4 linked regions of the Alligator mississippiensis genome follow. The protein of the gene in region 3 purifies or fractionates together with the protein of the main gene of each other region. This does not show direct contact. Links are inferred from orthologs where the notes say so. Each region holds a gene or a part of one and is shown on either strand. Other genes may lie near its edges.

Region 1 (7,248 bases), on a different chromosome or scaffold from region 3:
CAGTAGCCAAAGCCAGCAAGGTACAACCTGAATACACACAGGGAATAGCTCTATTAAGTAAGGTATTATTCTTAGATTTTCCTTTTCCAAAAGGAAACTTTGCCCTAAATTAATGCTGCATGATTATTTTTTAACTGAGGCTCTGCGTGCTGCCCCAACATATGTTAAAAATATACCACTAGATAAGATGGAGGCTGTTTACTTTAGAGGAGAAAAATAAGAGACAGTGATACTAAGTAATTATTAATATGAGAGTACTAAATCAAACCATTCATTCATTCTCTCTCGTAATACAAAGACAAGGAGTCATCCCCTGGACTCTGAAGTGAGAAGACTTAAAATGGATAAAAATATTTTTAATACAATATACTATTTGTCCATGGAACGCATTACCATGAGGTATCATAGAAGCCAAGAGCTTCAAATGACCTTGACATTTATACAGATCAAGATATGGTTACAATAGCAAAAAAAAAATTTTAAATTCTACAAGGACTAAATAACTTCTACAGGAGAGGAGTTAGGATGAAAGAGTCCCTGTAAGCAGGTTAAATCCATAACTGTACTAAATCGCATCATTTTCTCTAAAGCAACTTAATGTCAATAAATGAACCGCTAGTCTGATCTAATATGGCAAGTCATATGTTCTGGCAGGGACCAGATTTTGTCCTGGTATAATATATCCGAGTCTCTCAAGAACCATCTTTAGTTTAAATTTTAAGTCATTTTTCAAATTTACTTATCATTCAAACATTAAATGAATCCTATTTTATTGTTTGTAATCATGTATCAAATAAGGTATATACAGAGTTCTCTTGGTGGTTTTTTTTTTACTTACTCTTTGCTAACATCTGAAAACAGATGAGGACTGGACTGGAAAGTGACCCAGTGTTACTGTATTTAGCAATTACCTCGGATGAAATGTTACGGCTATGGTACAACAATACCTTTATTATGTTCTCAGAAACATTGCTCGTTTGTTAGTTGCAGACACAGCACTGCTTTCTTGCGTGTTATTCCACTTTCAAAAAAAAATAGTCCTTCAAAAAGAAATAAAAGGGGTAATAATTACTAATCTGTGTTGAACAATAAATCCTGAAACAGGGAGAAAAGACACAACTGTCCTCAAATATAGTCAAAACACAAGCTCTCTTTTCCCAAATTTCTAACCCCAGACCAATGCCCTGTCTGCTACCTGGCGAAAAAAGATCCGTTTCTCGGAAAGCGGGTGCTGACCCAGATAGGGAGCCGGGCAGAGGAAGAGATCTTGGTGCCACAGGTGAGAGAAGGGTATCCCGGACTTCCCTGCAGGATCCTGGCAGGTGGAGGAGGAGCGGATCATCTATGACCTCCCAGGAAGATCCAGCTGCCAGAAGGGGGAATGGGTTCTGGTGAAGATAATTATGTTTTATAGCATTTATTAATGGTTAATGCAGTATCAAGCCATAGACTGGATAAAGATGGATCTAATTGATATATTATTTTATCTGGTTTGAATAGAAAAGACATGCATAAGTTTTATCTTCATAGAGCTAATTGCTAGAGAAAGAAAATGTATGTGTGTAGAAATCTCTTTTCTACTAAAGCCAGTGGGAGTTTTACACTAATTTCAGTGAAAAATACAGGATTGAACGATCATTCATGCCATTTTTCCAAGCACAATGACTTAGATAATTGTAACACTGTAAAAATAACTAGAAACTAATACTTAACATAATGAAAGTTTTATAAATATCATCATTTATTCAAATACTAAAAAAATGTACAGCTAGGAATAGTGATTAATATAAGGAGTAGAGGCCCTCTACCAAACAACTTTTGCACTCTTAACTCCCAGGATCAGATTCTAAATTATAAATGATTTAAAACCTTTAGAGAACTTGAAGAGAAGCAAAACACTGAAATGCAAACTGATGAAGGCTGAGCTATTAAACTAAAAAAGATTAAGGATAATACAAGCAAATACACTTTACCGTTCTTATTACATTACTTGTAATTTTGCATTCATCCACTCATCCTGTTCTAAATTCAGCAGAGAACAAAATTGAAAATACACTGCACCTGGAGAAAGCATTCATAAGTTATTTTTCTGCACATCAGTGCAGTTCAGTGTCATGTCTCAAGAGCCCTCGCTATTGCTCAAACAGAAAACATATTCCAAAAAAAGCTTCAGTAAAATGACTTTATGTCTCTATGAGCCACAATTTCTGTCAAGACAAGTTAACACAGGGTTTCCTATCAAGATACAGCTGCCAGCAATCTCCCCTGAAAGAGCTCTGCTGTCAAAAAGGCAGGTGGAAGCTCCCATCAGCAGTCCTTTGAGAATTCCTGCACCAACCGACTTCAATAACGCCAACAGCTTGTTTTGTTCCTTTGCCCATAGATAACTGTGAGTCCTTATTGAAGCGGAACAGCGTACTTGTGCGATTCTTTTTGTGATGATAAAAATACACAAGCGTCACAAAAAGGTGTTTAAAAGGGATCTATAATTCCCCTCCTCCCGACACAAACCGTTCCGATTCAGAACTCCAAAAAAGCCAGTCTTATTTTGACTAATGTTTGCTCAGTTTCAGCCTAATGCAAATATTGCAAACCTCTCAAAAATAACCTAGCTGATATTTGCTAGGGGAAAACAAAAACTCTTCCCTTCCAAGAAGGAAGCACGTTCCAGACTTCAGTCAGGGTTTCAGAGCAGGTTCAACATCCCCGTTTAAATAACTCACTAGTTTCTGTGCATTAGTTTCTTTTTGAAGGAGCGAGCAGGCTAATGATGAAAGAACAAACCGAGGACCCCAGAAATCTAGTCTCTGGGGGACAACAGGTGCAAGAGGTATATCAGTCTTAAAGCACGTAAAACAGGGTGCTCAACCTCCAGCCTACGGGCCAAACGCAGCCCATGGAGCTGGGGCATCCGGCCTGTGGGGCCCCCCACACTCCCTCCCTGTGGCTGGATTGGGAGCCAGGCCAAGAGCGGGCCCACATGCTGTATCGGGCTCACAGGCTGGATCCAGCCCATGGCCTGAGCCCCAGCCATCCAGCCCAAGGGGGGGGAAGGCGGGGCACCACTGCTGGAAGACAGGCAGGGGCAGAGAGAGCAGGTCGCTGTGTTAGCCTGGCATCAGGCAGAAGGCAGGCAGTCCTGCTCCTCTGAGACGTCTGTAGACAGGAGAGCACCTGCTGTCCTGACCTCAAGGTGAGCAGATGCCCATGAACTTGGGCTCAGGCAGCTTATGCTCCCCGTCTCTCTAAACCAGTGTTTCCCAACCAGCGGGCCGCGGCACAAAAGTGTGCCGTCAGAAACGAACAGGTGTGCCACAGGCTGTTGCCACGGCAACAAGCCACAATAGATGTAAGGATAGGGAATGCCTTAACAGGTGTTCCACGGGAAAGTTTTATTAATATAAGCGTGCCTTGAGCTGGAAAAGGTTGGGAAACACTGCTCTAGACACCCAGGGTGCTGAGCTCACCTACACGAGGGCAGCCCCCCACCTTCCGCCTCTGCGACGTGCAGGGTTAAACCACCACCGCCGCGCTCCGCCATAAACGAGGCGGCGCGTGGAAGGGCTGCAACAGCGCTGCCCCGGCTTAAATAGGAAGCGGTCGTATTGGAAGCACCAAATTACTGTATTTGCTGAAAAATAATTGCATGCTAAAAAAAAAAAAAAATAGGCACACAAGTTTTACTTGACGTTGCTCAGCCGTAACTCCAGCGAGCGAGCGAGCGAGCGAGACCAGGGTCACCCAAGCTGAAGTGCTTCTTTCTTTCATAAGAAAGCGCTGGCAGCAAACCCAGGAGGAGGCTCAGGCTCCGGCTCCTCTCTCGCTTGCTCCCAGGGCCTTACGGCTGAGGGCAAGCAGAGCTCGGGGGCATCCGGACCCCAACGGGCCCGCACGTGGGACGCCCGCCAAAGCTTTTGGAAACATCGGAAGCCCCAGGTGCGGGTGGAGGATATTTGCCAGGCGCAGGGCCACTTATGGGTCTGGACTCATGGAGTTGGAATTAGTTTTGGCTAATTTGGCCTCGGCTACAAATTAAATTTAAAAAAATAAATAAAAAAGAAACCCCAGGGTGCCTGTCGCGCCGCACTAAGCAGCTGCGTCCAACAGCGCGGCTCTGCTCGTGCCAGGGAGGCAACACCGGGCGCCCCGCCCCCTCCAGGGAGACCCACCCCTCCCTGGCTACGGAAACCCGCGGGGCTCAACCCGGAGCCGCCCCAAGCCCCGCCCCCACACGCGGAGGGGCCGTGGCCACGCCCCCCACCGCCCGACGTGCGCACGCCGCAGCGCGGGGCACAACGAGCCGTCCCGGCGCCCGGCGCGAGCCGCCGGCACCATGATCACTTCCGGTGGGTCAGAGGGGAGCGGAAGGGGGGGCCGCAGGAGGCGGCGGCGAGCGGGGCCGGGCGGCGCGGGGCCCCGCGGGGGGTGGGGAGCGGGCGGGAGGGCGGCTGCTGCGCTTCTCCTGGCCCGAGCTGGGGCAGGCGAGCCCTCCGCCGCCGCCGCCGCTCCGGGTGGGGGAGCGCTTCCGGGCCGCGGTGTCCCGGCATGCCCCGCGGCCGGATGTGCCGCCATCTTTAGGGCCCCTCTCTGCCTTGTATTGACAATAACAAGTCCCGATCCGGTCCCCCCTCCCGGACAGAGCAGGAGGCAGAGAGGGGGGAGGAGGGAGAGAGGCGAGAGCAGGCTGGAGAGCGCCGGCTGGGGCGGGGGGCAGCCGGCAGCGTCCACGGGCGCCTTCCCTGCGGAGAAAGGGGCAGGAGACGGAGGCGGAGAGGGCAGCAGTTAGGAGCCCCCCGCGACGGCTGAGGCTGGGCCTGGACAGGAGGGTTGGGAGGCGCTAGCGGGCGGAGAGAGACGGGGAGAGCGAGGCCCTGCGAGAGGAGTGGGGGCAGGAGGCTGCCAGCGACTACTGAGCGGAGACAAAGGAGCAGGGGGAAGGGGGCGAGAGGCCGTCAGGGGCTCCCCTGAGAAGGAAGGAAGCCGACGAGACGGGAGACCGGACGACCCGACATCCCGGGGGAGAGAGAGAGAGAGGAGCTGAGAGACTCTTGATCCGGCAGCCCCGAAACGGACTCGGACTCTCTCTCTTGGTCTGTCCTACCACCAGGATTTGATGCCCCTCAGCCTGCTCACCTCTGTGTGTTCATGTTTCCCACAGGTTTCTCTTCCCCCAACCCCCCAGCAGCAGCTCAGGAGGTCAGACCTGCCACTGATGGTAGTAGCAGCAGCAGCAGCTCCTCCTCCTCCTGCAAGAAGAGAAAGTTAAACAGCAGCAGCAACAACTCGGAGAGAGAAGAGTTTGATTCCCTTTCCTCCTGCTCCTCCTCTCCTTCCAAAAACAGCTCCTCATCCTCATCTTCCTCCATCATCACCACCTCTTCCTGCTCCTCCTCAGGGGGTGCCTCCACCAACCATCACCTACAGAAGAAGCTGCGCTTTGAGGACTCCTTGGATTTTATTGGACTCGATGTGAAGATGGCTGAAGAGTCTTCCTCTTCCTCTTCTCCCGCCGCCTCTTCTCAGCAGCAGCACCAGCAGCAGCTCAAAAATAAAAGCCTTTTAATTTCTTCAGTGGCCGTTGGGCACCATGCGAATGGTCTGACCAAAGCTGCCTCCTCTACTGTTTCCAGTTTCGCCAATAGTAAACCTGGCTCTGCCAAGAAGTTAGTGATCAAGAACTTTAAAGGTAACAGGCCATAATGTGAAGAGTTGACACACTGCTTGTATTTTATGTCTATATGACAGCTATCCACTGGGCTTGTAAATAGGTATAAGTTCTACTGGAAATATTCTTTGGTGGTGACCCCCCGAGCGCGTGTAGAAAAAGGGGAAAGTCATCTTTTTTTATAGTATGGGATTTATGACACTGCATACGCACTTGGAGATTTATGTCACTTAGGATTGTTTTTTGGACGCTCTCAGTGTACCTGTGAAGGACAGACTTTGTTGTGGGCATTTAAGAAACGTCTTCTGGTGTGAGGTTGTTTTTTAATTGCCTTTATTCAGAATGGCCGTATTTGATATTGCCTTTGAAGTAATCCTGACTCAAGTCACAACAGTAATTTAGTCCAGGTCATCTAATAGCTCATAGCACAGGGTAGCCACTTGAAAATAGCCTCTTCTGCCTGGTGTCTTTCCATTTGTTAAGTTTGAAATTAATTTAGATTTTAAAATGATTATTGATATTTAATGCTTGAGCACTTTGTGGATTGACGCTGAGCATCCTGCTACACATTTTCCTGGCATTATCTGTGACCCATTACTTTTATGTCTTCTCTTCTTCACCTATCTTGACTCTTTTTTCTTTTCTTTCCTTTTCCATTTTTCCCCCTCTTTATTCTGCCTCCTCCCCCCCCCCCAAAAAAAAAGGGGGGGGGGTACCTGCTGATCTTCCTGCATGAGTTTGGGTTGTTGAATGAGGCCAGGAAGTGTTGTGACTGAGCAGATACCAAAGCTTTGGATACCATGTTGCTTGAACCTGAGCTACTCCGTTTAATAGCTACTTTATGGTTTACTTCCTGGAGTAGGCAGGGAACATGCATAGCTTTTGAGCTGCTGTCTGTTATTTATGTCAAAACTTGGGCAAATCCAGGGTTCATGTAGTTCTCTTCGCTGCTTCTCTCTGACACTTTGCACTAATTCAGAAGCTTCCTTCCCTATTCCATTTCCTTTATTCATGTTGAAAAATACTGATTTACATAACTTTTTTTTTTTTTAATCCTAAGTAATGCTAGTATTTTATTGGTATTTGAGGCAGGGAGGGGGGAGTCTGGTAACTCCACTGTTCCAGTATGTTGTAAGGTATCTATAACGAGCCCCAATTTATATGGGGCTTGTTATAGATACCCTACAACATACATGGATTAGATTGTAACGCTGGTTTTCCCAGTGACATGAGGAAGTGTTCTTCCACTTACCCTACTGCCACATGCATTCCTTATTCACTTGCAGACTCAGAATATTAGATTAAGGCATGATCCTGAGAAACTGACTTTCAACCATGGCTTTCTTATCTAAAGTAGTGAAATTTAGGCAGTGGCTTTTTACAACTTTTTTTAATTGCTGTGGATTTTAGTTGCCTATTATGAACTGCCATGTTGGCTCCCACCTGGCAAACTAGTATATATAAAATGTATCAGTTTTGTGACTGCCCTTCTTCAGCCTTTCATGTTGAGGAAGTAAGTTTGACCTTATCTGAGATGCTAGTAATGTTTGATTTCTTTTTTTAAAACAATACCTTTTTCCAAT
Region 2 (6,969 bases), on a different chromosome or scaffold from region 3:
CCAAGAGGTGGAGTTCCTTGCCAGCAGCCAAGGGGGAAGGAACTCTCCCAGAGCCAGCAGAGGGGAGAAACCTGACTGCAGGTACAGCCTCAAGACGGGTAAAGGATGGAACACCCCAGGGGTGGCTGGAATAAGGTTATAGCTGGGTGGCTAGAGTTGATGTTATAGCCCAGGGGATTGTGTTTTTGGTTTACTGTTTAAGACTGGTGGTTTGGGTGAGGCTATTAGGGGAAGGAGGAGGCCTCTTAGGGGACCCACAGCAGTGTGGGGACTCTGGTGCCAGAGAGGGCGCAGCATTCTGGGTGCACCTACCCCAAGCGCCAGTGAGGGCACCGCGCGAGACAGGGCGGTGGAGAGCCCGAGGCAAACCAGGGAGCCGAATTATAACAGGGCCCAGACCAAAGAAAGTCTGTTTCATCTGCGAGGCTTGGGGTGTGGTAAAGGGATGGCTGGAGCCACGCATAGCCCATAAGGCTAGGGTGCCCCGAAACACCTGTTATAACATCTATTCTGAAGCAGGACCCATCAGGGATCCAGGAGTCCATGGGCTCCGAACGTACAGTAAACTGTGCCCAAGGTGACGGAAAGGCAGTCTCCCTAATATACATATTTTCATCAAAGATGCAGCAGGAGAGAATTGAGGGTGCCCTTTGGGTCAACTTGGCATGGTAAAGGAGGCCTTAGGGGAGATCACAGCAACCCTAAGACTCCGCATTGTTACACACAGCTTAGCAGACACCTTGTGCATGAAATGCATGTTGACAGTACCCTCACTGTCTGGACAGGATACGTCAGACTGGACCACCAATGAATGAGTACCAGGTAGATGCACAATGAAGGGACTAAAGGTATAACACTTGAGAGAAACAAAGAGAGGGTATGTTCATTACTCAGTAACTTCCTTCAGGAGAGATGACCATAAACTGAAGCAAGAGACCCACAGAAGATAACTGCATGCTGGCCAGATGTGTGTCTTCCTGCGTGCATCCCTGGGGCACAGTGTATAAAGGGAGTTATCGCTTGCTTGCTAATTTGTCATGTGCTGCTGCTGTGTATCAATAAAGGTCCCTAAGTTATCAACGGGATGTGTTGTGATTGGTCATATTAGGGATGTTGCACCCTGCCCACAATTGAGTATGAGCTGCTGATTCTTAAAATCAGGCCAACAAGTCAAGACAGGGATCAGGAACCTGTCCTAGATTACCCAAAACCTGGTCCCCTAACTGCTAAACAAACTGTGAGCAAATAGATGTTGCCACCTTTTGGTATGCCACATCACAGTAAAATTAGTGGTGCAACAAAAGGCAATAAGACTACCACTATCACCATGGGCATCTATTAGCTCTGTGACAGCAGAGTATGAGCAGCCTGAGCTGCATGTACTCTCCAGCCATCCCAGGCAGGGGCTCTGGGAGCTTCAAGGTCTATCAAGCCTATGGAGCAGCTGCTCACTTTCGCCTTACAGAAAGTCACCCTGAGGAATCCTTTTTTTTTTCCCAAAAAAAATATTTATTTCGCTATATATATAAATAAATAAAGATATATAACTCCACCTCCAGCATTTTGCCAAGTGGCCCCTGTGGTTCACTTGGCAGCTCAAAGCACACTAAAAACCTGTTACATAGTTCACACCATGTAACTGCATGCCCATGCACCCATCTCCATACCTATACCCCCCATCCACTGCCCTCCTTAGTGGGTCTACTCCTGAAAAAGTCTATGCCAGACCCCTCCACCAGATGAGGTCTGCTATTTCTTTCCTGTCATCCTCTTCTGTCTTTTTACAGTACCAATACATTTCACTTAGTCCCATTTTAATACAGTCCTCAACTGTGGGGTCTGAGTGTCTGTTTATGAGCAGGTTCCTGGCTTTCCACAGGGCATACCTGAAGCAGGATACGAACTGGTTGGAGTGAGCTGTCTTTGGTGTCTGGTCAGGTACCTGTAAAGAACCACTTCCCTGGTCAGGTTTTTTAAACCTGTCACCACCAGGAGGAGCACACTTCTCTGCTATATGGGCAGCCCCAGAAGAGGTGGTCGATTGTTTCTGCCTGCCAGCCACAGGCCTGGGCAGTTCGATGGGCCTCTCTATCCTGCGCTGTTTTTCCATGCCCGCATGGGGAGTGGCCTGCCAGTTCAGGTCTCTGCACTCCTTCTGCAGGTCCTTGTGGAAGATTCGCTCCCACACATCCTGGCAGCTGTCACCAGGTAGTAAGTCTACAGGCGATATGGTGTCTCTTGCCCTTACCACTTCCCTAAACTTGAAAGCCCGCTTTCCCCTGCTCAGCCAGACCTGTCCCCTGCGCTTCAGGGAGCGGGGCCGCCTGTGCAGGGAAAGCTGAGAGATTAAATCATCCACTTGTCCTACATCATCAAAGGTTGGAGGCGGGGCCATGCACATTTTGCCCAATGAAGCAAATCTGAACGGCCTAGACCTGAAATGCTGAAAGAGGCTGCAAATGGGAGAGGAACAGTAGGAAAAAAACCCTTGATCATCCCCAACTCACTCTCCTTTTTAGCATCCACTCTCTGCCCCTGTGTGTGGTGGATAGCCTTGTTGTTTCACTCCCATCCCTGTGTGACGCAGGCCTATGTGGTGGGCACTGGGAAGATGGACCCACCCAGTAAAGCTGAAAGCCCCCCTTCATATAGGGGAGGGGGAGCGGGGGCTAAAAGCACATCAAGTGATCATGGCTGGGGGTCAGCTAAAGAAGGAACAGGGATGGGAGCAAAAGTCCAAGGTGCAAAAGGAGGGTGCCATTGAGCAGAGCACACCAGAGCTGCCAAACACCAGAGGCTGGGCAAGATGGACCTAGGGGCTGGGGGCAGTTCTGACGTCCTGATCTGCTGCGAGAGACCTGTGGTGGCACAGCTGATCCCATCCACTGCCTTTGGCCAGCAAGCCCCAGCTGTCTGGGACAGGCTATTTAAATTATATTATATTGTATTATAATTATTACATATTTATAACATATCTATATATATAATTATGACAACATAAATTGTATTATATTGCACTTTATTATATATTTTATACATGGTTGTATATGCATACGTACATATATGCTTATAGACACGAGGCACCTCTCAGGGAAAGGCCAGCTCTTCCTTTCCCCTTTTTTTTCTTTTCAGCCTACAGATGTCGGGGAGCCCTGCAAACCACTCGCCCTTCCCCCCACCGTGCTGGGTGCATGTCCTTACTGCCTCCGCCCAAGCACCCTGATCCCAGATGCAGCTCAGTCTGCATCCCAACGACTAGCACGTGCGGGACAAGCGCCTTGTCAAGGACAGGTTGAGACGCTTGGGGGTGGGCACCTGCATCAGTAGGTGGATGGGGTAGCAGTGCGAGGTACGCATGCGTACCTCTAGCCTTGACTCGATGCGGGGAACCCTCCTTACCGCGGGGTTTGGTGCGACACGCGCATGCGTGCACCGAGCCCTGACTGGTTAGGTGGACGCCACAGGCCACCTTCGGTGAGAGGTGCGCATACACACACCCGGCCCTGAGTCGGGCGGGAGGGGACCTGCCCCGTAAGCGTGTTCGGTGCGGTGTGCGCATGCGCACACTTGGCCCCCACTCGAGGCGCGAGGTACGCATGCGCACACCTGGCCTGGACTCTGGTTGCCGGGACCGCGCCTTGGCGCGAATGCGCACATCCGGCAGTGACGTGTGCGGGCGGAGTCACACTAAGAGTGGAGAGGTGTGTCAGGCCGCGGGCGGTAGGGGGCGTTGTGCGGCGTGGCTGGGCCTCCGGCGGCCGCTCTTGCTCGCTCGCTGCCTCTGCAGCCCCGTGCTGCGTGTGCAGCGGGGCCCGGCCTGAGCATGGACCGGAACCCGACGCCGCCGTCCAGCGAGGCGGAGGATGAGGAGGCCTCGGGCGACGCCGTGGGGGACACCGTGTACAGTAAGCACTGGCTCTTCAGCGTCCTCACCAAGCTCATCGAGGTGCGTGCGGGGGGCTTCCTCAGGCCGGGGCGTTCGGTGCGAGATGCGCATGCGCGCACCCGGCAGTGACCGAGGGAGACCTGCCTGCGCGCGGGGGCTCGGTGCGCGGTGCAGCAGTGACGGGGGCGGGGCGGGGCCAGAGTCTCAGTGGAACCCCCGAGGATTCCAGCCGGGAAGGGCGCTGCCACGAGGGGGCTGTGAAAGGTTCTATCTCAGTGGCTCTCAACTGGGAAAGGATGTGGGGGGTGTCCTCTGCGGACCCTGGGGTCCTGCGAAGGGCGCACCAGGAAGGGTGAGGATGATAGGCCCATAAGGGCGGGCTCAGGTTCTGGGTGTAGGGAGATATTGGGGCTAGCCCACTGGGAGGCTGAACTTCAGGAGTTTAGCTACAGCTGGCATGGCTTTAACTCCAGATGGGATGGCTTTGTGGACTGTATCTTTGATATCCTTGAGTTAGAGGACTTGGGATCAAGCATTCCCTGCCAGCTGTCCAGTTGAACATACCTGGAGCACTAGGTTCCAGTTGTGTCCTCAGAGCCCCTCTGCAAGGAGTTAAGTCCCCCTGACGAATCAGTTGGTTCATGACGTGGGGCAGCACTCCTTTGATAAAAGTTGGGGGGTAAGGGAGGCACCTTGAGGCGAAAACAATTGAGAATCGCTGCCCTAGTAGTTTTCCATAGTCAACCAGTGATAACTAAGAGCTGGTTTTGTCCAGGAGGTGCCTTGAGTCTAAAAAACTTGAGAACCATTGTGGTAATACCTCCTGTCAAGAAGAAGCTGATCAGCAGAGGATCCTACTTATTAAACCTGTTCAGCGGGGGAAAGCGAGGCAGGATGAGATGAAAGGCCTGCTGATCTTGTAAAGCAAGCCTCTTTTGGCAAAGCAGGGAGTGATTCAAAAGTACTGAATGCTTCTGTGAGTTTTGTGAGTGCTTGAGAAGAATATGTTTAGTCACTTTTTTTTTTTTTCCTAACTAAAACTGTAACTTGTTCTAACTCCTTGCATTTCTTCGCTGTAGCTCAGTAATTCTAGCCTCATTTTCTCTTCTGTACTTCATAGGTTATTAGCCCTGAAAAGAATGACTTGAACTTGAGCAATGAGGAGATACAGACAGAGCTAGAGGAAGAAATGGAGAATGACATATGTAAAGTGTGGGATATGTCCATGGATGAGGTATGTGAAGCAGTCTTACTTAGCGAAATGTTGAAAGTAACTGTATAATTAAGAATTTTTTTGCAATTTTGGCCTTTTGCTTAATGTTCTTAATTTAAATGGTTCTGAAAGAGGGTTGGTAATATTAGGTCTTGTTTACATTGTAAAATTCTGCCAACATACTGTATGTCATATGGAAAAAAAATCATACGTTGTAGTGGATGTAGCTGTGCCAGTGAAATACCTAGTTTGGAGGCAGCTGTGCTAGCAAAAGAAGGCTTTTGTTGTTCAGAGAGCTGTTACTCTTCTGGCAACAGAGCTGCATCTGTCCTGGGGAGTTCGCTAATGTGACTCTGCTGCTGTAGTTAGAGCAGCAGTAGCCTTGTAGTGTGGAACAGGGGTGTCAAACTCACTCTGGGCACCTGACTGCCTCCAGACTGTTGGGCTCCTCCTGATCTGGATCTGCAGACTACTGGCAGCTGTGGCCTTTGCTGCACAGCCCTTGTGCTGCTTCCCCCCCCCCCCTCATTTTGCAGCAGGCCCTGTCCCCTGCGCACCCCCTCATTATTTCCAGTAGCCCAGTGGGTGAGATGGGATGGCTTGGTGGACCATATCTTTGACATCTCTAGGGTAGAGGAGTCAGAATCAAGGATTCTCAGCCAGCCATCCAATTTGGATGTCATTGCTCCTTCTCTGTTCTAGGTGACAGTCTCCTGACACCCTAAAGCAGGTAGTAATTTGACATGAAAAAGATTAATGATGTCGCCATGTATACTTTAAAGACTAGGATGAAAATAGCAAGAATTTTTCTGGCACTCTAAACTAATCGCTAGGTCATGTACAAGAGTCTTCAGTTTGATGTCAGTTGCTGGTACCGAGTTGTTTTTTGAAGGTAGGGAACAGAGCTCTGTGTCTGTGTAGGTAGGGAACAGGGCTCTTGGACTGTTTATGGAACAGGATCTGCCATCTGGTGCTCATTGGTTCAGAATTCTCTGGGATAAATGACACCATATTGGAAGCCTCTGTATTTTCATATGACTTATTAGACTTCATATGTCAACTAATATGGAAATTAATTCTTTTGTTTATCTTAGAACTGTATAATGGTTGTTTACAATTTCAGCTTTTTAATCTCTAGTGATTACATTTCTACCCTTTTTAATATCATACTAATCTATAGTTAACGACAATGCTTGTTGCTATTAAATTGTATTATGGTTGATGAATAAACCATGCCTATGTAGTCTAATAAGACTTTTTTTTTTTTTATTTTGTGATACCTAAAGTTTCCAAGAACCGAAATGTTAGCAAATTCTTGAATAAAGAAAAAAATGCTCTCTTTGTTTAGATGTTTCTAAATAAACAACTTGGAAGATGAATCCTTTACTTCCAAATAGGGAATTAATTTTCTGGTTTAATGAGGTGGAAAAAGGAAGAGAAGATTTCTACTACGTTCTTTTCTGGCCTCTCTGGTTAAGTCCTAATAGAAAATCTCTTTCCTTATTTACCTTTTTATCTGCCTGAATGTTATGGCATGGTTGAAGAAAATGGCATTGGTTGAATTCTTACTACTTAGTGCTTTTGCCCCAAGAAAAATGAAAAAATCAGTAGTGGACCAAACAGAATATTGATGACTTGTGTAAGGTGTTAATCAATGAATGAAATTCCACAAAGATGGATAAGGATGGTGTAGTAAGGAGCATCACATCAGTGAACACATTTCCTTCTATTATTGACTGTTCTTGACAGCCCAATGAGAATTGGCAGGCAGTTTGGCTGTTGCAGTGAATCTGACAACTTCTTGACTTGGCCTGATTTTCCATGGGAAAGGTTTGATAAATGTGTGAAAAATATATTTTAAAAGAGAAGA
Region 3 (7,141 bases):
AGTGAAGGATACCGGCAGGACCAGGGGGCTGCAGGTCGGGAGTGAGGGTCACCAGCAGGTCGGGGGGGGGGGGGAAGGGGGGTGCTGTGGCTTGGGAGTGAGGGGCAACAGAATGGGCAGGGCACTGGCATATCGGGGCTGCTCGGGGCAGGATGGAGACGGGATAGCCTCAGTTGGACCCATGTCCTGGCAGTGGAGCTCTGATTTTCCATGATAAAAAAACCAAAATCAAAAGCCCTAATATATAGGTATTTAGAATGTATTTTATTATAATAACAACTGAGGCATTGGTGGGCTTCCAAATTGCTTTAAAACTGTAAATATATCAATGAAACATTGTTTTCAACACACACACACACACACACAGAGTGCTGTTTCATATTAATTGTGAAAGAAACGTGGATTTTGAGTATTTAATGAGAGAATTTGGGGTTTTTTTCAAATAAGACAATTTTGGATTCATAAACAGAGAAAAACAGTATTTGTGCAGATCAACAGTAAAGGCAAAGAAAACAAGTTTAACTGATGATGCACACAGGCACAATTTCACCTAGGATACATTAAGATTAGAGGTGCACCAATATATCAGTCCATATCAAATCGGCACCGATAAAAGGAAAATTTACATTACTGGCAATTGGCTACACCAGCTTTTTTGGTCCGTGTATCTGATAATGTCACCGATAAATGCTGTGTGCGTGTGCACAGCTGCAGTCTGCACATGGCCAGGAATGCAGCCGGGTAGCGTGGAGAGCAGCATCCGGCTTGTAAGTCTGTAGGGGGAAAAGGGGTGCATGTGTCGGGGGGGGACAGACTGAGGCCCCCACAGTGAGGGAGGGAGTGGGGCTTGGGCATGGTGGGGCACAGGGCAGGGCCATGGGCAGCTTGCTGGGGGGACTGGGGGGCAGCTCCCTGCTGCTGCATGCACCCCTGGGGGAAGCATGTGGGGCCTGTGCCCCACAGATTTGTGTACAAGGTGAGGGTGGGCTGCCCGCTGCAGGCTCAGGGCCAGGGGCTGCTCTGACCTCTTCCCAGCAGGAGGCTGAGCCAGAGCTGTACTCAGGGCAGGCTCAGTTGCGCAAGGTGGGCAGCAGTGGTGGCGGAAGGGGTGGCGACGGAGAACTTTGGGGTGGCCATAGCTCCGTGGCCCCAATGCCACCTCTTCCAGTGCTGCTGCCCGCCCTGTGCAGCTGAGCCCATCCCGCCCCCACTCCCACCCTCGCCTGCCCTGAGCGCAGCCCTGGCCCAGCACTCCTGCTGGGAAGTGGCCAGCGAAGCCCTTGGCCCCGACCTCGCAGCCTGCCCTCGCCCAGCCCACAAATGCAGGGGGCACATGCCCCCCATGCCACCCCAAACAGTGCACAGTTTTGGGGAGCCGCTCCCTCCCCCGGAAAAGCTGCCTGCAGCTCCACCCCATGCCCTGCCCTGCCCCAGCTGGGCAATGCCTGCCCCAGCCCCACTTCCTCCCTCATCGTGGGGGCGTCAATCTGCCTGCTCCTCCCCCTCCCCCCTCCAGCACAGGCTTAACAGCCAGGCTGCACATTGACTATTGGATCAGTATCGGCCAATATGGCTGGTTAATAATTGGCTATTGGTATGAGCCAAAAAAAAATCTTTATCAATGAACCGCTAGTTAAGATAGCTAAAAATTTTTTAAAATTTCAAGTGTATTTACTTCAGTCAACTTAAGGTGAATTTTACCTCCCTTCTCGCCAGTGTTGAGACAGAAAAGGATCTCGGAGTCATCACTGATGCCTCAATGAACATGGGCCGACAGTGTGGGGACACGGTCAGGAAGGCCAACCATACCCTGTCGTACATCCACAGATGCATCTCAAGCAGGTCCAAGGAGGTGATCCTCCCCCTCTATGCAGCACTGGTCAGGCCGCAGCTAGAGTTCTGCGTCCAGTTCTGGGCGCCGCACTTCAGGAGGGATGTGGAGAGGGTCCAGAGGAGGGCCACCCGCATGATCAGGGGGCAGCACGGCAGGCCCTATGAGGAGAGGCTGAGGGACCTGAACCTGTTCAGCCTCCAAAAGAGAAGGCTGAGGGGGGACTAGTCAAGGGGGACCAGCAGGCATTGGGAGAGTCCCTGTTCCCCCCAAGCAATCCCAGGAGTTACAAGAAACAACAGACACAAGCTAGCGGAGGGTAGTTTCAGGCTAGACATTAGGAGGTGCTATTTCACTGTCAGGGTGGCTAGGACCTGGAACCAACTTCCAAGAGAAGTGGTGCTGGCTCCTACCCTGGGGGTCTTTAAAAGGAGGCTAGACGAACACCTTGCTGGGGTCATTTGACCCCAGTACTCTTTCCTGCCACAGCAGGGGGTCGGACTAGATGATCTCCTCAGGTCCCTTCCGACCCTACCAACTATGAAACTATAAAGGTTGAAGTCATATTAAAAAGAGCATGTGCTCCTTAAAAACATCTATTGCTGATCACACCTACCAAGGGAACTCTACTCAAGGGAAAAGAACCAGATTTTAATGGCTGAACTTTCACATAAAAAAAAAAAAAGTTGTTGATTTTTTCTGAAGTCTCTTTCAAAAAGTTAGGTAACATAGCGTAGTTTAGAATGCAAAACCCCACCTTCCCAAAACACACCTAACATTTCTTACAAGTTAACTGATGTATCACATCACATTATTTATCTTGTCCAATAGTCCTCTGCAGGAGAAAGCTTATATAAGTCCCATAACATATCTAATTGGTTGCAGCCATGTTCCCACATCACAACAGACAAGTTACACAAACCAGAACAAAGAAGCTAAGAACACCACACAAGTTGGGAGGGAGCATAATTTTTGCAGTAAAACATCCATTTGATTAACCTCAGCATGCTTGCTACTGTCAAGGTCATCTAGAGGAATCAGTGCCCTTCAAGGGACAACTGTCTTTTTTTAGCAACTATCTTCCCTATATGGTAATTAATCTATGATACTTTTCAGCAGTCTTAACTGTTACTTGTCAAAACTGTAAAAATGATTTATTTTTATAGTTTAGCTACCTATGGAACTAGAGCTGAGGTTCAGCCTCTAGAGCTCACAACACCCTGCTGTGACCCGAGGACAAAGCTCACATCACTGAGGAGCAGGGATCTGAAGATGCAAACACTACAAATAAAGAATTAAGATGGTTCAAGAATTAAGATGGTTCAAGACTATGTATCAGCGGAATTTCTTCCCTTTACTATCACTAGTTAATTGAGCGATAGTTATTTTGCCAGCATGGCTGGTCTAAACTCATTGTGCGAGTCACCAATTAAATTGTACAATAATTACTAAGCACTTGTGGCGTGGGCAGTCTTACTTTCTGCGTGGGGCTGGTCTGCATTTATAGCGCAATTCACCTATTAATGGTGTGATGACTACTTGGCGCTTGGGGCTAGTCTTATTTTGTACATGTGTCCGGGCTACATTTATAGCGTGATTTACCTATTAATGGTGCGATCATTACTTGGTGCTCAGAGCCAGTCTTACTTTGCACGTGTGGCCGGTCTACATTTATAGCGCGGTTCCCAGCGCACAGCTCGGGCGTGCCCTCTAGCGCAGTCGCAGCGCCCTGCTAGGCGGGCAAGCTAGGCCTGAGCAGCCACCAGCGATAAAGGCACCGCGCCTCCTCGAGCTCTCTCCGTCCGAGCCGGCGGCACGGCTCACAGCGCCCTTGCGCGCACAGCCGGGCCAGGACACACGTTACATGTAACGCTCCACGAAGGACCGCGAGAGCGCGGACGGGAACGAGGCTGCCCCCCGGCGCCCTCCCCCCACCGGGACGCACCTTCCTGCCGGCAGTAGGACATGGTGAGGGACTCGCGCGCCCGGCGCTGACTGACCCCACCGGTGCCCCGTCCGCCCGGTCTCCACGCTGCGAGAGGAAGGCCCCTAGGCTGTCTCCGCACTGCCTGCTGGCAAGCAGCGAAAGGGGGAGCACGAGGTGCTGCGGGGACACCCTGGGGAGCACCCAGCACCCTGCTTCTGCCTGCTGAGGGCCGCTTCGGAGGAGTTCAGCCGGCAGCTAAGCGCAGGCACCTTCGTGGCCACCCTCGGCTGCAAATGACCCCTCCCGGCATGCTTTGCATAGGCCGCGCTTCTCCTTCCCCGCCCGCGCCAGGATTCGCTTTCCCGGCACGCCTCGCGGCGGCCCGCCTGACTCCCGGCGTGCCTCGCGGCTGCGAAACTACAACTCCCGGCATGCCCCGCGCCATCGTGCAGTGCCCGCACCCGTGAGGATGTCGCGGAACGTAAGTGCTGCCCCGCGCCGAGGGCCCCGCGTGTCCGCCTGTCCTGGGGGCGATGCTGGGAGCAGAAAGCAGAGCGGCAGGTCAGGGTTGGGAGCAGCTAGGCGTAGGAGGGGCAGCAGATCAGGCTGGGGGCACAGGGCAGGGAGCAGAAAGCAGAGCAGCAGGGTCATTAAAAAATTAATGAAAACAAGGTAAGGCAGCAGTTAACAGAGAGAATCTAAACCAGTGGGTGCATTTTAAACTAAAGGTCTGATCCGTCCCCAAGTGGTTTTGTGGTGGTAGGAATATAATATATCACGTTATACTGATAATCATTAGAAATTTCCTACGTGTTTCTTGATAGATCCTTCCATGCATACGTGCCAGTTTGCTGTCTCTAACATTTCATTTTTGTTTTCCATTAACAGGTCTCTGACGCAAGCAGCAGAAAAGAACATGTTAAAATTACCAGTGAGCCCAAACCAGGGTTCCTGGAGCGGCTCAGTGAGACATCTGGGGGGATGCTGATTGGGTTTGTGTCGTTTTCCCTTTCTTTCTACGTGCTTTTTACCAATGAGGTATGTGAATTGCATGTCAAGCCAATGTTTTCCTGTATGTCTCGAGTCTATGGCACTTCCAGTCAAATTCTTTCTTACCTGAGTGTTTGTAATGTCAAACTGCAAAGCATTTGGGCTGTCCTCTAAGCTTTGTTATTAATTCATGTGTGAGAAAGGTGGAACATATGGGAAGAGCCTGAATCCTATCACTGGCTGAGTTGGGGACATAATAGAGGAGTAGGATATTGGATAGGAGAGCTGTTTATGAGAGTTTTTGAGAACTGAATATGAAGGGACGTGACGGGAACATCCAGAGTAAGCAGTGGAGTACAGGGAAGAATGAATAAATATTAGGTGGCAAGTGGAACTGAAGAGCATTACATGGATTTGCACATGCCTTCTGTGTGCAAGTGCCTCTCGTGTAAGTCGCTTCCCCCTTTTGTACAACAAAGGGAGTTAATGATTCTGTTGTACTATTGCATAGGGGAGGCTATAGATTTCATACTCTAGTTGACTTGCTTTGCTTGTGTCAAAACAAATAGTAGCCACAAGTAAGTAAGCAACCATATTCCTAAAACCTTATTTTTACATTCCCATCTTTCCCATGCTTGCTCAGAAAACTGTTAGAACTTATCTGAACTATAGTGTAAGTGTGTAAAGCTAGTTTAATCTCCACAAAACTGAGTAATTAGCTATACTACAGGTTATTTAATACTCTAGTTTCAAACTGTTTGTTTTAATTTGAGGCTAATTTTAGTTCTGATTCTGCAAATACTCAGGCCCTCAGCTCCACTACCTGTAATACATCTCCCAGAATTAAATGAGCTACTTGTGCTAGCAAACCTTAAGTATGTGCATAAGAGTTTGCAGGATTAAGGCTTTCCTTTATCCTGAAAGTATTTTTAATCTGATCTGACTGGAAATCTTGGAGTGGAGACAGAATTTGGTGAAATTTCAGAGCTTCACCCAGAAAACAAAAAGCTTCTAGCATGCTACCTACATAAATGAAGAAAAAGAATTTTTGCTATCTCAAACAGAAGTGTGTAGCATAAAGAGCAATAACCTGAAGTTAAGGAAGGGAATATTATCAACCAGTCAGAATAATTGTATGGTAAAATAACGCCATAGTAGCATCCATACTATCATTAGTGACTAAGGTCAAAAGGAAGAAAATAATTTTAGGGTATCATGGTAGGAATATTGTGCTGGTGAGTATGTACATTAACTTTAGTGGTTTAGTTGCATGAAGAAGTATTGTTCTTTCAAGTAAAAATCGGGCATTAAGATTGAAACAACAAATAAGTACAGATGTTTCATGCCATGTGCCTGATCATGCTAGCATTTTGTGGAATTTGTGACACAGTCTTCTGGTTGGTTCATTCGTTAATTCAAGATTCTTCCTCGTTTTTTTTTCATTGTATTCTCTTTTAATTGACTGCAGGGACGAGCTTTGAAGACAGCCACCTCTCTTGATGAGGGCTTGTCTCTTGTAATTCCTCTTGACAACATACGCACCGTGTCTCAACAAAATGAGGGGAAACTAGTGCATTTGTCTGGTGCCCTTGCAACATCAAAGGCAAGTAAAATAATAGTGGCCAAAAATTAGTGCATAAGTTGAGGGAATGGAAAGCTCTTCTGCCAGTTAAAACCAGGCATACTTGATATGCAGAAATACTTTGGAATCTAAACATGCCCTACCTGAGTATGTTGATGTTTTCAATTCTTCCTCACATCTGTACTGTAGAGATTTTGGGACTTGTCATTGCATTCAAAAAGATGCAAAGACTTGAGGATCTGATGTGGAAGCTGCACATCTTCTTGTTAGATCAGATATAATTATGTTGTGGTTAGTTCTTTTTCCAAGGCATGTCATGATGAAATAATGGCCAGCAGAGAAGACAAAGGGTTCATTTTAAATCTGTTCAAGCATGGTTGAATGCTTTGAGTAAGGGACAGTGAGCCAGGACACCTGGTTATGTTGCCTGCCTTTCCACAGGCTTGTCTCACTTTCTTCAGGCCAAATTTATCACTGCTCTAAATAGATAGCATGCACTCCCTCCTGTGCCAAGACTTTTTATACTGCATCCATTGCTGGTATATCAGTCACTTCATGGAATTTATCATTTGTACCAGAGTGAAATTTGATTATCCACCCAATGTGCACATTTCCTTTTATTCACGTGGCTTTGGAAAGTATAATTAACATAAATAGAGTTCTTAAAAATCCTCTGAAAAAAGATACACAGCAGTAGTGCAGAATTATACTGTTTCTAATGCATTGTTTCATTACCCCACTTTTTAAAATTTACTTTGGGTCTTGAGAGTTTTGTTCTTTTTTTCTTTTTTAACATTTTGAAGTGAAAACA
Region 4 (7,412 bases), on a different chromosome or scaffold from region 3:
GCTTTTTATTTTTATTTTTGGTGGTATCTTTATTGGGCCTCAAGTTGCCAGACAAAGGGCACTTAGGGCATTTTTACACATGCTTCAGGAGGCATGGGGAGGGCGCTTTAATCAGTGAGCTGCACCAATTAAAAGTGCCCAAGTGTCACATGTATCAGTGTCCCTGTGCTGAAAAATGATGGCGGAGCACTTTGAACTAAAGCTCATCAAACAACCTATAGATCAAAGCAGCCCACCGCCATTTTTCAGTGCAGGGACGCTGATGCATGTGATGCTACAGTCTGCTGGAGCGCGTTAATTTCCAGGCTACAGCAGACTCGATTAACCAAGTCTGCTCTGGTGCACTGGATTTTTGGCATGTCGCACCAGGTTCCCTGCATGTGTATAGGAGCCCTTAGTGCTCAAAAATTTTCTTTTAATCTCTCTCCCAGGTATGCAGTTGGTCCAATAAAAACACTTCCCTCGTATTTAGAAATGGCAGTAATAGAATAAATTGCTTGCATATTTTATACATGGACTTAGTCCAGAATTCTGCAGGCAGAATGGGTCCCTTGCACTATTATCTCTGTCAGGTGCTGGAGCAGAGGTGGGCAAAATATGGCCCGCAGGCCAAATTTGGCTTGCAAGTCCATTCTATCCGGCCTGCGGGGCCCCAAAGAAATTTTTGAAAATTAAAATTAACCTGTCCTTGGTTCCTGTCAAAAATGAAAGGAACCAGGGTCAGTAGGACCCAGGGGAATCCTTGGTGGGCTCAGCAGCAGCTTGTAACCCGTCCCTGCTGTCACCCTGGGCCCCGTGCCGGCTCCAGGCTCACCCATCAGGGTTGTGCATGGCGGCAGCTGCTGCGGCCCCCTTGCTTGCTGCTCCAGACAGTGTTTGCTGCTGCTGCCTGCCTGGAGCTTGCGCTGCAGTGAGCCTGCCACTGCCGCCTCTGTGTTGCCCTGCGTGCAAGCTCTGGGTGGGCAGCGGCAGCAGCAAACACTGCCTGGCATGGCAAGTGGTGGGGGCTGCAGCTGCTGCCACCGTGCACAGCCCTGATGGGCGAGCCTGGAGCCAGCACGGGGCCCAGGTTGGCAGCAAGGGTGGGTTACAAGCTGCTGCTGAGCCCACCAAGGATTCCCCTGGCTCCTACTGACCCTGGTTCCTGTCATTTTTGACAGGAACCAAGGACAGATTCATTTTAATTTTCAGGGGCGGGTTACAAGTTGGTGCTGAGCATGCCTGCTCAGGACAGCCCCACATGAGCTGTGAGCGGCTGCAGCAGGAAGCGCCTGCCACGGGGCAGGGAAGGGGCTGCTTCTTCCTGTGCTCCGCACCAGCTCCTTCCCTGCCGGCGAGCAGGGGGTCAGGGCTGTGCGCTGCCCCCAGCCTGTACCATGGTGGGGGGCACTGGGAGTGAGCGGGTGCAGAAGTGTGGGGCCCACACCAGTGTCCCAGAGCCAGCAGGACCCAGAGCAGGGCGGCAAGAGTACAGGGTCCTAGCCAGCAGGGGCTCCATGGAGCCGGGCCAGCTCCCCCTTCTTCCTGCTGGTGCAGCCTAGCCTGGCTCCACAGCCCCTGCCCTGCTCTGGGCCCCACCTGGCCCTGGGACATTGGTCCCAAGATGGTAATCAAGGGGTGGGGCTACCCATGTGGTCCTCAACAGCTTGCTAACACTGGGTAAGCGGCCCTCTGCCCAAAATAATTGCCTGCCCCTGTGCTGGAGTCATGGAAATACAGGTGTATTCTAATTATTGATTAGTCATGCTAACAGACAAAAATAACTATCTCCAAGCAGGCTGTTAGGGTGGATTATCTCTGGTTAGAGAGAATTAAGATTAAGGGATAGAGAGGTCATGTAGAGAAAACAGTCTGGGGCAAAGAAGTCATGTAGGGTATTCTTCAGAGAATGGCAAAGATAATGAGTATGGTAGGCCTTATTTGGTGGTTTTAGTTACCAAGATAAACTCTGGCAACAAAGCAAGAATGGATTACATAAAATACCTGCTACACTTGATTTGGCTCATTTCCTTTTATAAATGTTTCCTCACTCTTCTTGGCAGCTTTATTATTGGGAATATATATATTTTTTCCAAACAGGTCTCTCTCTCTCTCTTTGTCTCTCAGGGTTACACTGTTCAAAAATCCTTGCTTAACTGCTAGAAATAGAGAAGCTTCTAATAAGCTTCAATTTCTTTAAACAGTTAAAACCACATAGAATAAGAACTTGGATTTTTAAAGGTTTTGGGGTTTGTTTTTTTTTTAAGTTTTCCTTACTTGTGCCATACTGCAAGGGAATAATTTGTGAAATCTCTTCAGATTTTGCTTTTATTAATCTGGTTTTCTGGATGTGGTATTTGAACTTTTAGAAACTTGTGTATCAGCTGATGCAGCGTGAAATTGAGCAATGACAAGGTTTTGTTCAGGTCCCCAGGTTTTCCCGATTCTGATGGTGCTGTGTTTGTTTGGACTGTGGATTTTATCTTCTGTAGTATGTGGTCCTTTGCCTTGTTTTGGGCAATCTCCTATTTTAGAGTAATGAACAAACTGCCTGAAGGACACAAGAATGCTAAATAGGGCCTTATGAGAGCTACAAACTTCAGAAATACTAGGTCTTCGGCATAAGCAAGATTCTTTGCTAGGTTGGAATTTTAAAATGCCACTTCTAAAACTTGATGTTAATATGACGACCCCAGAAACAATGATACAGTAGAACTGTTAATGCTTATTGAGGCCTAAGGTGTGGGTGATCCTGGCTTTCTGAAAAAGACTTATGAACCGATTGACAGAGTACATCTCAAAATTGAGATCAATAATTGGCAATTTATATTGTTCATTGCTGAAAGTTACTTTTCCATTACTTTCTTCCTCATTCCATAGATTCATGCCAGACATGTCCGTGGCTGTTTGGTTGCCTTACTTTAAGTGAACCTGGGTTCACTTATAACAGATATCTGCTTAAATTCCAGTTAATATTTAGAAATAGTGTCACAGTTAGGAAATGAAATGCATTCCTACACCTCCTAGGGTAGGAGTTTAATTCATAACTCATCTCAGAAGCACTTAAAAACACAGCCGTGCCCATTGCCTTCCCTAGGTGGCTGAACATTCAAAATTGTCCCTGTGAAAGCCTGGGTAGATGCTGTGCCCCTTCCAATCACATCAATGTAGTAATGATGTGGATTTTCTCTCTCCCAAACTGATGCTGACTCCGTTCACTCTAACACTCACTTTGGAGATAAAATAACTTGCAGCCCACAAACAAGTGCAGCATATCTCTTTGAAACTGCTTTTTTTTTTCTTTCTTTATCTGCAGCCTTTTCAGTGCTAGCTGTTGCTGAAAGGGACTTAGTGTGGATGGGACCTGGTTGCTGTTGTTTTATTTTCTTGCTCCCCTTTGAGGATGTTCCTGAGATCTCCCCTAGTCTGCTCCAGACTCTGTCTCCCTCAACCTCTGGTAGCAGTCATTCTAAGCGATCTTCTAAACTCCCCCAAACATAATTATTTTTCTGGTGCTCAGAGTATCAGTAGATGAACTAAGTATCTTTTTGTTAGCACTTGAGTTTTTAGCTGCCTTGCTCTGCAAAACTCTATTAGCTGGTTTCCCTCCTTCCTCTCTTCCCTATTCCTCAGTTTCTTTAGAATAATCTTCCCTAACTTTTCCTGTTCTTTCCCTTTTTAAATAATGTGACACATATATTACCTTTTTGCTTTTTTCCTACTTCAGTACTTGCTATCGTTAGTTAAAATTGTCAACTGTCACAATTCTAATGCAACTGCAACATGTGCCACTTGTTTGTATTACTGTGGTGCTTGGCAGCTGCTGCCAGCTTTGGCCATTTTCAAGGGGCCTAGGCCAGACTGCAGAAGTGTGGCTAAGCAGAAAGCCTCAAAACTTTTTTCTGAGTGACTGTAGCTTGAACCTTTGCAGATGTAACAACTAGTTAGGCCAGTAGGATAAAGGAAGCCCTCAGCATAACTGTCTAACTCACTAATGAGATTACAGTTAAACAAAGCACAAGGCCTGAAAGGCGACATAAGGGAAGACCATACATTAAATAATCCAGATATACTATATAATAGCTTTATTTTAAAATATTTGTAGTGGTGATTGATGTAACCAAATGTATTAGATGTTATTTTGTTGTAATAGATATCTTTTTGGTAAGATGCTTAGCAAATCTGTAAAAACAAAACAGCTTTGTTGAAGACCATAAACTAAAGAAGAAACAGGCCAGTGTTGAACAAGAGGGAAGAAAAAGGGATAAGAAACCCTCTGTAACAGGGTACATGGCTCATGGTCTGTAGCCCAGCTGCAGGTGTTTAGAAGGGGATCACCTGCCTGCCTAGGAGGACTAGACCAGCTGATAGGGATGATTGGCTGGCCCTAGAAGAAGTTAAAAGCTTCCATGGAGGAGAGTCAAAGGATATGGAAGACTGCAGTTCTGTGGAGGCAGCTCAGAGCTGGAATTGCCTTCTCAGGGTCTGGGAAGGACCACAGAGGTTGATTTAACTGTTTATTGCTTATGCAGTTGTTTGTTTTATGGTTTATGTTGCTTCCTGTGGGGACATGTTTGGCCCAGAGAAAATAAAACTGCTCTGTGAACAGTAACAAGCCACTATACCTTCCCTTTTATTTTTCCAAGGATGTAAATACAAACTAATTGACATCTTCCAAGTCCACAAGAGAACTGGTTCAGTCCAGGTCCAAAAGTTTCAGAGAAGCAAAAATTTAAATGAAATTGATCAGAGATCATTTATTAGAATATTAGAACCAGTCATCTAGAAATACTGGGTATAGGCTGGAGGGAAATTTGGAGAACTTGGCGAATTCATGAAGACCTGCTGCCATGCTACCTTCCTCCCACCACTCAAGTCTCCTCAGCCTGTATAGGTGAGAATCTACGTTGTGCTGTCATGGGGTGGCCAGGTGGACTTTGGGTTAAATGTTTGTTTTTGTGTTTTGAAGTGCAAGAAAATTAAAGGTCCGGCTGCAGATCTGTTTCTGTCTCTTATCATTAGTTAACCCACAACGTTACCTGTAATCTGGGTAATAGCTCTAGTCCTCAACCCAGAACCTGTAATCCCAGTTCACTACCTTTGACTTTCCTGGTCTGAGGGCCCCTTCTTGTTAGGTTTCAAGCCATAGCTTTTGTTTCAAAAAGGAACTGTAAGATTTTCTAACTTTCTGATCAGGTGCTAGGTAACAGTCTCCTGTGTCTCAACCCTGATCACTTCAGCAAAAATTAGTTGGGCTCAGACTCTGCAATTCCGTTTTCTCTGGGGAAATTAGTGATCAATCAGCTTTGCTTTAAAATAAAAACCGTTTCAGAAAAAACCTCTTAAAACAATAATCCACCTTAAATAAAGTTACTGCTTTTTCCGCAGTGCTTGTTCAAATGGCATTTTCCTTGAGGTGCTGACAAAGGTCCCCTGGCCATAAGAGTCAAAACACCTTTTTAATGCTTAAATCTTTGATCTAGTATGGCTAAAACACTTTTATAGAATAGGAGAGACAAGTTACAGAATTTTTGAAGTCAGCTGCTAGATCCCATTTGAGTTTAAGGTATACAAGATATTCTTATCTGGGTAGTTACTGATCTGTTTTCTTTTTTTATTGCCTCTATTATGTTATGTTATTCAGACTGAGGTACACCTACACCTTCATACATGTACCACCTAGGATCTTTAGGGCAATGATACTCAGCCAGTGCTACAGGTGCTGTGCTGTGAAATCTTTTTAAGGACGATGCACAGTCTTGCACTGTTAGTTGCACACACAGTTCACAAGATAAACTCGGATTTTGAACAAGAATCCATAGTGTCAGAAACATTTTGACCTGTTGTTCTTTGCAACAGAAGAATTGTTCTATTTTTTATTTTTTTCATAGTAAAAAAAAAAACCAAGTGAAAGCCAAGAGCTAGCATTTTCCTTGAGTCTGAGGGGTGGCTTGTATCCAAAAAAGGCTGAGAATCTCTGCTTTAGTGGGTACTTCAGTGATGATTCTCAGAGACAGGAATGGGGGAAAAAGGAAAAATGTGAATAGAGGAAAAAGGAAAGAAAACAGACACATTATGCACTATCCCTTAGGATACTGGAAAGGTTAGAGTTAGGTTGCAGTGACATATTACTTTGCTAACCACAACACAGAATTATGGAGATCTACCTCCCAAGACAGTTATCAGATGAGTAGCACTTCCTGTTATACTCTTTTATTGTAGATAAAGCAACTGATTTTTTGTTTGGTGTCTTGAACATTCTTAAATCAAGTGCACATATCTTTTAGTGCTGTCCCATTACCTCTTGTTGAAAGTACCTCTCCAGAAATCTCTTCAAGATATTGTATGAAACCCTCTTTCAAGATGGGACAAATTGACCTCTGCTTCTGAAGTGTCAGTAAAAAGGCTGAATACTCTTCTGATTAAAGCAGAAAAGGCTTCCCTTTTATAGTTAGCCCAGCAGTGCCTTTCTTGAACTTTTACTGTACCAGGAAAATATCTTATACTTGCACAGCAAGTAAAAAGTGGAAAATAAGTAGTTGTTCATTGGCTTCACTGTCTTGTATGATGCAACAGAATGTTTTATCATTTTGTCTGTGAAACTAGATTGCTGATGATGATCTCTCCTACCTGTAAATTATTGAACATTATATTCCTTTAAATGTTAACTACTTTACTGATCATGTAACATACTTTGATAGCTGTTAGACTTTTAAACAACCAAATGATTAAAAATGTATGCTTTCTCTATGGAATGAGTAGTAGTTAGCCAAGTTAGTCTGAAGTCAGGCAGAAAGCGAGGTAGAGGTGCACCCAAGGCTGGAAACAAATGTGATCCTAAGTCTCATGTGTGGTTGGTTATGGTGGTGCATGTGCTGAGAAAATAGACACCTAAACCTGTTGTGGTACCACATGAAAGGAAAATCAGTGGTGTAGCAAAAGGTAGTAATAGACTGCCACTTAATTGTGGTGGATAGCTTACCTTTGTGGTGGAGTGGGACAGTCAGCCTGAGCTGCTTGCATTCTTCTACCACTCCAGGCAGGTGCTCTGGAGGCTTGAGGGGCCCTGAAACTCTCAGAGCACTTGCCTGCTTTCCTTGCTTACAAAGGGGCACCCTGGGGAATCTTGGGGTACCTCTCCATTTGCAAGGAAGTCTGACTTCTTCACCCAGCCACATGTGGGGCACAGGTCTGTCTGAGTGGGGAAAATAGGATTTTCCCTGCTTGGCCAGACTTGTTACCAATTTATCATTGGAGATGGGTCTGGATAAATAGAGAAAGTGGGGAGATAACATCACCCCTTAGTTTTTCCCCTCCCTACCCATGGTATAGGGTGAGGGGTATTTCCTGTTCTGTGATGCATCAAGACAGCCAGTTTGCTTAATCCAGCAAAGTCTATGTATGTGTCCACATGAGCTCGGACCCTTGTTTCC

Evidence for each region.
Region 1: the proteins of TMEM43 (region 3) and CUL4B purify together in Homo sapiens (affinity purification with mass spectrometry; 3 studies listed by BioGRID and IntAct, counting the BioPlex papers as one, with this or other methods). This does not show direct contact. The link is inferred for Alligator mississippiensis from reciprocal best matches to the Homo sapiens genes TMEM43 and CUL4B.
Region 2: the proteins of TMEM43 (region 3) and SAAL1 purify together in Homo sapiens (affinity purification with mass spectrometry; 3 studies listed by BioGRID and IntAct, with this or other methods). This does not show direct contact. The link is inferred for Alligator mississippiensis from reciprocal best matches to the Homo sapiens genes TMEM43 and SAAL1.
Region 4: the proteins of TMEM43 (region 3) and BZW2 purify together in Homo sapiens (affinity purification with mass spectrometry; 3 studies listed by BioGRID and IntAct, counting the BioPlex papers as one, with this or other methods). This does not show direct contact. The link is inferred for Alligator mississippiensis from reciprocal best matches to the Homo sapiens genes TMEM43 and BZW2.

What each region holds. Positions count from the first base shown.
Region 1 is NC_081831.1:72,376,437-72,383,684, forward strand, and holds the start of CUL4B (cullin-4B), read left to right. Parts: upstream 1-4,244; 5' UTR 4,245-4,333; coding exon 4,334-4,346; intron 4,347-5,158; coding exon 5,159-5,686; intron 5,687-7,248.
Region 2 is NC_081825.1:191,297,138-191,304,106, forward strand, and holds the start of SAAL1 (protein SAAL1), read left to right. Parts: upstream 1-3,958; 5' UTR 3,959-3,989; coding exon 3,990-4,238; intron 4,239-5,006; coding exon 5,007-5,120; intron 5,121-6,969. UniProt on the Homo sapiens protein: Plays a role in promoting the proliferation of synovial fibroblasts in response to pro-inflammatory stimuli.
Region 3 is NC_081835.1:16,920,344-16,927,484, reverse strand, and holds the start of TMEM43 (transmembrane protein 43), read left to right. Parts: upstream 1-4,128; 5' UTR 4,129-4,227; coding exon 4,228-4,239; intron 4,240-4,646; coding exon 4,647-4,796; intron 4,797-6,216; coding exon 6,217-6,351; intron 6,352-7,141. Other genes in the region: CHCHD4 (mitochondrial intermembrane space import and assembly protein 40), read right to left, coding at 3,777-3,798. UniProt on the Homo sapiens protein: May have an important role in maintaining nuclear envelope structure by organizing protein complexes at the inner nuclear membrane. Required for retaining emerin at the inner nuclear membrane.
Region 4 is NC_081828.1:163,897,619-163,905,030, reverse strand, and holds the start of BZW2 (eIF5-mimic protein 1), read left to right. Parts: upstream 1-4,393; 5' UTR 4,394-4,408; coding exon 4,409-4,482; intron 4,483-4,545; exon of another isoform or gene 4,546-4,829; coding exon of another isoform or gene 4,830-4,873; intron 4,874-7,412. UniProt on the Homo sapiens protein: Translation initiation regulator which represses non-AUG initiated translation and repeat-associated non-AUG (RAN) initiated translation by acting as a competitive inhibitor of eukaryotic translation initiation factor 5 (EIF5) function.